2 linked regions of the Danio rerio genome follow. The protein of the gene in region 2 binds, or shares a complex with, the protein of the main gene of each other region. Links are inferred from orthologs where the notes say so. Each region holds a gene or a part of one and is shown on either strand. Other genes may lie near its edges. The genes, in order: nalcn and unc80.

Region 1 (3,829 bases), on a different chromosome or scaffold from region 2:
CACACACACACACACACACACACACATATATATATATATATATATATATATATATATATATATATATTTTTTTTTTTTCATTTATTTCGGTTAAAGATTAATTTAATTCCAACTGAATCTTTGTTTTGTAGAAAAAAAAAAATTATTACCATAAATTATTATTAAAGCAAGAATGATATTATGGAATATAAACAAGATCAACATAAAATTTTTAGCCAGTAATGCCACAATTATTTAATCACAGAAAACATAACTGAAAAATTGACGGCTTTGGCAAAGCATTTTCTTTTCTTCTAGCAATTTATAGAAGGCTTTAAGACTGGATGTGTCAGAATACATTTAGGGCAAGACAATTTTTTTTCTATGCTTAGAACAGGAATTGATCTTTAAAATACCCATATCACGTATAGATCAGATCGTTTCAGACTGTCTGAAGTGGAGTTTAAATTAAATAATGTAGAAAGAGAGAGACAGAAAACTGTCAAGAGGGACAGGTCAATCTTTCTGTCTCATAAATAACAGTACAAAATCTTCGAAACAGAGGAACCCTAAACCTTTCATTTACACACTGCAGTTGAGATCATAATCAATGTGCTCTAAAGAGCTAAATTAATTGGATTTACAATCAAAGGTACTGGGCTGCAACAAAAACAAGACAAGATGACCGGCCTTCAGGAGAGAGATGAGGAACATTTACAGTCTAATATAGTTAGTTAGAGGTGTGTGTGACAAAGAATGGTGAGCAGTAAGGTTTAGAATACCTGCAGGGTTGGGACATGCATGACTCTAGTAAAAGGAGACTCAAACATCATGGAAATACAAGAGCAGATAGTGACCACGATCATCACCCAGTCCAGATAGGTTACCAAGCCCAGCAAATCACTGGAGAACACACACAGACACAGACACACATGCAAGGTTTAGTGCAGGCTGAATGTGTCAAAATAGGATTTTCCTACTCTGCATTCCTCCTGCTCTTCAGTCTGAGCTTATGTAACTTAATTTTTCAGATCTTTGAAACTGGTGAAATCCTTTTAGGACAATGTAGCCCAAAAGTTTCTTCTAATCCCACACTGGAATGTCATCCAGATTGAAACTTTTTTAAAGCCCTTTTCTCAAACTGCATTTCTAGAATCAAAATAGACATAACTAAGGGTAACATTCATAGAGCCAAATCACATTTTGACCCCCCAAAATATGAAACTAAGATATACTATATATTTTAGCATTATGTTCAAGGCAATTTTCATTAATATAATAGATCCAGATGATTTAACACTATTTATTAACATTTAAACAATACATTTTAAATTAATTTGTTACATTTAATTTAATCTGCACCATCTAACTTTTTCAAATACAGTATGTTGCCATCTCGGACTGAAATATAAAACTGTAACTTACTTGCTAAGTTATTAATCATAATCACCACATTAGACCTGTCATTCTACATTGACATGTCTGTATGTAACATTTCAGCCAGTTTTGTTCTCACCAATTGAGAACTTCTGAAGAAAACTGCATTACTGAGCATTTCAGCAAGCTAACATTTGAGCATGAAGCATAAACACAGAGCTTACTGTCAAGTGTGTCAGAAAAATTAAGTGAAAGTCAGACAGAGTACACTTGTTGACTTTTATACGGAACAATTCAATTTAATAGACGATTTTCACTTTTTATGTAGTTATGAGCATTAATAAATGCTTTTTGTTATTCTTTTGACTACAATTTACATACTGCAACTTTAAAAAAGTTATATTTTGAATGCACTGTTATATTAAAAGGAATATGCAGGTGTATGCTGCAATTACTCTATACAATTTATGAATTTCACAACAAAACAAAAACACAAAACATAATAATAATAAATAAATAAAAACTCTGTATATAATAACAGATTATCATAACGCATAAGCCCTAAACATTTTGGGACTTACTATAATTGATGGTATTTTGTGCTGTTCACTGCGCCTGTATTGGGATCCGTATTTGACCTATTCATAAAAAGCCCATTAACACAGTATCAGCAAACGTATGGAAAACAAACACACACACAGAGAACAGTTTGTGAAACAAATAACAGTGGCTATGGTGCAAAGGGATTAGTCATCGCCATGATGTGCATGAAAATACTACTGTCTCTATATAATGCAATGGATGTGAAATAGTTTTAGTCTTACGCATTAAAACGGGCTCTAACAATCATTCGGCAAAAGTTTCTGAATCGATGCTCTCTACCAACGATGAAGAGTGGCTTGTCAAAGTATGGATGGTTTTCCCGAAGTTCCTCCTCTTGGACTTTTCTGAGAATTAACAAACCAAACAAAAGCAACAAAACAACAAATAAGAATTCAGAATAAAATCAGAAACCTCATCTACTGCAAACTCTGCTCCCCAATACTGCTTTTATTATTAGGCTACATTCACACTGCAAGGCTTAGTGCTCAAATCTGATGTTTTTTCTCAGATCTGTTTTATTTTATTTATTTATTTATTTTTTGTTTAGCTGTTCACATTGTTGTTATAAATGTGGCCAGTATCCAATTTGCAGTGTGAACAGACCATGGTCCTAAACTGACCTGTATGCCCAAAAGTATACCCAAAATGTCTAATTATGCACACAATGAAGTAAGCACATTGTCAGATTAGGCTTAATATATTTATTACCCTTTTACAACATAACCATTGTATATTTTATGAACTGTACTTGTTCTGCTACTACTAATGTGTATTTCGGAAACCCAATCTATAAATCTTTTTTGATTGAAAACACTGATCATTTGTAATTTATGACAAGTGTGGTGTGCGTCCTTCTGTCCACCGATGTGGTAAACTTATCAAGGGTTAATGAGCAGCAGCCGCAGACTGAACTTTGAAGGCGGAGTACTGTAGGTTTATTTTCATATTCATATCAGTCTTTCATATTTGGTTCTGTTAATGTATTAATTATTAATTAATTATTAATTAATTAATTATTTATTAATTATTAATTATATTATAAGTAAAATATAGCTATTTTGTTAATGAATGGTTAACAAGTGCCAGTTTTGCATTAAATTATTATTTTTATGCTGCTGAGGAGCAGAGGACATTTGCAGCACAGAATGATGATTGGGCCACATATGCATGCAGTGTGAACGTAGTCCACTTTTGGATATTTACAGGGTTCTTAGACATTTTTACTACAAAAATTTCATGATTTTTCCAGGACTTTCAAGTCACTTTTCATGACCTAATGTTTCATGTAATGTCTAGATATACGTTGTATATCATAAGAAATGTTTAAACTTGATACAGCATATTATAAAACACAATAATTTCAATTTATTTTATATCTATGTAAAATAGATGATGTTTATACAGCACTAATAATGTGAGAGCATGTTTTCGGCCAAGAAAAGAAAAGATAATCTTAATAGTTTGTGAAACTAGTATTAGTAGGTAAAACTAATTCTATTATAAAGCCGTGATCACACTGCACTTTTTGCTCCAAAGACTTCCATTTATAGCCATGCGAATGCGGAAGACCAGAAACGCAAGCACGTGTTTCGCATTTCACTGCATTCGAAAGATCAAGCTTGTTGAATTCTTACCTGCGAAATCACATTAGGTGATTGCGTGAGACCAATAGAAGATCATTTAAAATAAGAAATGTAAAACATGGAGCAATCACTCACTTTTATAAATGTCTAATCATATTGTTTAACCCTGCCCTTCTTCGCAGCGCTGTACGACAGAATTTTGCAAGCACAAGCACTAGTGTGACTGCAGCTTAAGTCGCTTTGGACCAAAATGTCTGCTAAATGACTAAATGTAAATGTAATTGCCA
Region 2 (3,829 bases):
CCTTTTTGAGCACACATATATTAGATGCAGACAAAATACCACAGATGCAATTCTGCAAAAGCATGTAAGATTTGTTTTCTGCAGAAAAGACAACATTTGCATATCTGACTCACGTCTCCCCACTGGTAAAAGTGCTTGGCAGCATTCCACTGCAGCTTTGTGTTCCTTTTGTTTCCTGCTACAGGCGACCGTCCTCTGGACAAACCTCTCTTAGTGATGTTCACATGGTGACCTTTCATCCACTCTGGCCAGTTCCCTCGATTACAGCGATGCACAAAACGAGCACACTCCACAAAGAGTGAGGCTCTCGCCACCACTGGAGCTTCCTGGGGAAGACATTTATAAACATTATCAAGACATTTTTTAGCTCATCTAAAAATAATTTTTAATTTTGACAGAGCATTTATAGAATGTTACACACAAAGAACATTTTTTTTAGAATACTAATAATAATAATTATCATTGTAATTCATCCATTCATTCATTCATTTTCTTTTTGGCTTAGTCCCTTTACTAATCTGGGGTTGCCACAGCGGAATTAACCACCAATTTATCCAGCACATGTTTTACGCAGCGGATGCCCTTCCAGCTGCAACCCATCTCTGGGAAATCATCATCATCATCATTATTATTATTATTATTATCATTATTATTATTATTAGAATTAGAATTATTACCCAGGGATTTTATTTTATTCTTTTGGTGTTAAGCTGGGGAAAAGCATTTAAAAAAAAGCCTTTGCTAATTATTAGTTTAAAAGAGAATGTTAAATAAAAACCTTAATGGATTTTTGTCAAACAAAAGCTTAGAATCTTTAATCTCCATTTTTTATGGTTCTATGACAGCCACTATTGAATAGATAATGTAATATAGAAACATAACTATCATTATAAATATTTTATTTTTATCTTTCATCATTAGAAAGCTTACAGTTTCCATTTTTTTGGGGTCCTAAGGCTTAAATTAGACCAAACTGTTGGCACAGAATCATAAATAACAATGTTTTTTTTTTTCTCATAGAGGTGCTCAGAGGTGGCACAAATGTATTTAATACAAGAGGGCTGAATTGGGTCAGAGAGGAATTTATTCCAGTATGTGGCTTTGTGTTTACACTGATTTTTGTGCAGACAAAGAGCAGCCTTAACTCAAAGTAGTATAATAAGAGCAACTTAAAATTTGTAATTCCAACCATAAGCAAACAAAGTTCGGATACAAGATTAAAAGATGAATTTTGAAGCTTCTGCTTGGATCTACATTGGAATTCAGGAAAGCTCATTTTATCAGTTCAGAATTAATACTTAAAAAAATACAATTTTGCTGTTAAGGTTGATTTACAAAATTTTGCACAAACAGCTACATACAGCTTGATAATAAATTTGCTTTGTGACAAATGTAATACAGTTGATGCTAATATGTCATAGGTTTTTTTTCTGTTTTAAGATACAGAGCTATTGGAATGGAATTTTTAAGAACTTTCTGAGATTTTTAGGGTGTAATTACTGCCTGATCTGATATTTTTAATTCTGGGACAAATGTATTTGTTATCAAGTACACAACACAAACTACAATTAAGAATTCTCAGAATTGTTTTAGAAGAAACAGAGGCTCCAACATGTAAACTATGGGTTGTAGAAATAATTTCTACTTTACATTTGGAGCAAATTAGGTACTTTTTAAAGTAAAAACTTGAGCAATTTGACCAAATCTGGCAACCTTTTATCTGTTTATCTTGATAAGAACTATATGGACTAATGCATCACATAATATTTAAAAAAAATACAATACAGCCTCAACAGATATTCTTAAAAAGGTCTCGTAAGGAATGGTTTGTGATGTGAGTGTTTTTCTTTTTTTTCTTTCTTTATTTGTGATTTTATTGCATTGTATGTATGTAATATTGGGACAAAATATGTAAAATTGTGAATCCTTTTTTAAAACTTTGTCTTCAATAAAAGAAAAAACTCTTGGCTTGTTCCAAAACAGTTTTTTTTTTCTGTTGAACCCAAGGAAAGATATATTGAAGAAAATGTTGGAAATCAGCAACCATTGACCTTAATAGTAGCAATAGCAAATACACCACCTGACAAAAGTCTTGTTGCCTATACAAGTTTTAGGAGCAACACAAAATAACTTGACTTCTAGTTGATCATTTGGTATCAGAAGTGCCTTACATGAAAGGCAAAGGCCTCTAGATTAAACTTAGTTAACCAAAAAAATATGATCATGCCTTGATTTTTAATGATTTAATAAGGACAGTAAGGTCTGACTTTGCTTAGACCTTGGTCATATTGTGTTTGACTCCCATGAGCTTGAAGGACTGCATTTACACATCTCTGCAATAACTCAAATAACTTATTAATAAAGTCATCTGGATGGCAAAGAAAGTGTTCTTGCAGGACTCCCAAAGTTCATCAAGATTCTTTGGATTCATCTTAATACCTCCTGCTTCATCTTACCCCCGACATGCTCAATAATGTTCATGTCTGGTCACCGGACTGGCCAATCCTGAAGCACCTTGACCTTCTTTGCTTTCAGGAAATTTGATGTGGAGGCTGAAGTATGAGAAGGAGCTATATCCTGAGAAATTTGCCCTCTCCTGTGGTTTGTAATGTAATGGGCAGCAATGTTGTTATCCACTCTGCAGATCTCTCTCAGCACTCCCCCATACTGAAAGTAACCCAACCTTGACTGATTTCTGTGAGAACCTTGGGTCTATGCAGGTTCCAATAGGTCTTCTGCTGTATTTGTGATGATTAAGATGTAGTTCAACAGATGATACATCAGAAAAATCTACATTCTGCCGCTTTTCAAAATGATCAACTAGGAGTTATTATGTGTTGCTCTTACAACTGGGATCGACGACAAGACTTTTGTCAGGTAGTGTACAATGGAGGTCAATGGTTACTGGTTTCCAACATTCTCCAACAAATGTTCCTTTGTGTTCAATAGAACATACAAAAACTCTAACTGGTTTGGAACAAGTCAAGACAAGAGTGAGTAAATGATGACCGAATTTGGGTGAACTAGACCTTTAATGGCTTTCAAGTCTATCCCCTTATAAATATGCTTTAAATGTAATTCTACAGCTATCTGTACACAAAACCGAAGAAACAGAACTGACCAGGTCTAGTGCTGCAGCCAAAATAGAAGCATCTGGAATGGTTCCCGGCTCACAGCAGTTCAACAGGAACTGAAACCTCTTCATGCCTTGTCTGATCGCACCCAGATTCACAATGTTCTTATTCTTCATGGCCTCCTGACTGGCAGCCAAGCGCTCCTGGAATCCATGGCAACCTTGTTGGGGTACAGAATGGCATCATTGAAATGAATGTAGCGACTTTCAGCATGAACATCTGAAAAAGCCGGTGAAATATGCATCCGGTGATATCGAATGAGCATGCAAGTGTTTAAATTTGTTTGTGTCACTACTCTGAAATCACAACAACACTACAAGATCTACAAATTATGACTTGCAAAATTTCCTCAAGTAACTATTAACTTGGAGAGCTGAAGGTTTACGAGAACTCTGACAAAGCTGTGGCGGGTCATGGTGCCAGGGTCATAGGTCAGAGAACCACAGTTTTCCTCTTCCAGCGGATGGTTCTGACAAAAATGGACAAACACACACACAGAGAGCTGGCATGGAAGATGGTAGAGGAGTGTACCAGAAGCACAAGACAGGTCAAGTACGGGCACACACACGAACAACAGAGCGAATTGTGGACAGGGGTGGGGGAAAGGCACCCCAGGGTTCTACCATCTTTCTCCTCTGTGTGGTGGAGCTTGGAAGGGTTCCTCCGACCAGACCGCCATTTACCGAGCCTCTTGA

Evidence for each region.
Region 1: the proteins of unc80 (region 2) and nalcn are in contact, whole or in part, in a cryo-EM structure (PDB 7SX3), measured with the Homo sapiens proteins. The link is inferred for Danio rerio from reciprocal best matches to the Homo sapiens genes UNC80 and NALCN. Residues at the interface, in NP_115893.1 of Homo sapiens: Lys1979, Asn2004, Glu2005, Cys2006, Asp2007, Leu2128, Arg2129, Leu2130, Pro2131, Pro2134, Arg2135, Ile2138, Asp2139, Phe2142, Phe2145, Ser2146, Glu2179, Asp2184, Glu2185, Met2187, Leu2188, Asn2191, Asn2194, Ile2198, Leu2199, Glu2202, Ser2226, Leu2227, Ser2228, Gln2231; in NP_001337678.1 of Homo sapiens: Asn639, Met643, Val644, Ile646, Lys648, Leu649, Pro650, Phe653, Val655, Pro656, Lys657, Ile658, Arg659, Glu660, Phe662, Met663, Lys664, Gln665, Phe666, Ile667, Arg669, Val711, Ser713, Arg715, Ala716, Arg717, Leu719, Lys722, Glu723, Ala725.

What each region holds. Positions count from the first base shown.
Region 1 is NC_133184.1:33,301,041-33,304,869, forward strand, and holds part of nalcn (sodium leak channel NALCN), read right to left. Parts: intron 2,304-3,829; coding exon 2,181-2,303; intron 1,995-2,180; coding exon 1,938-1,994; intron 883-1,937; coding exon 762-882; intron 1-761. UniProt on the Homo sapiens protein: Voltage-gated ion channel responsible for the resting Na(+) permeability that controls neuronal excitability. NALCN channel functions as a multi-protein complex, which consists at least of NALCN, NALF1, UNC79 and UNC80.
Region 2 is NC_133181.1:17,599,176-17,603,004, forward strand, and holds part of unc80 (protein unc-80 homolog), read right to left. Parts: coding exon 3,758-3,829; intron 3,295-3,757; coding exon 3,122-3,294; intron 327-3,121; coding exon 114-326; intron 2-113; coding exon 1-1. UniProt on the Homo sapiens protein: Auxiliary subunit of the NALCN sodium channel complex, a voltage-gated ion channel responsible for the resting Na(+) permeability that controls neuronal excitability.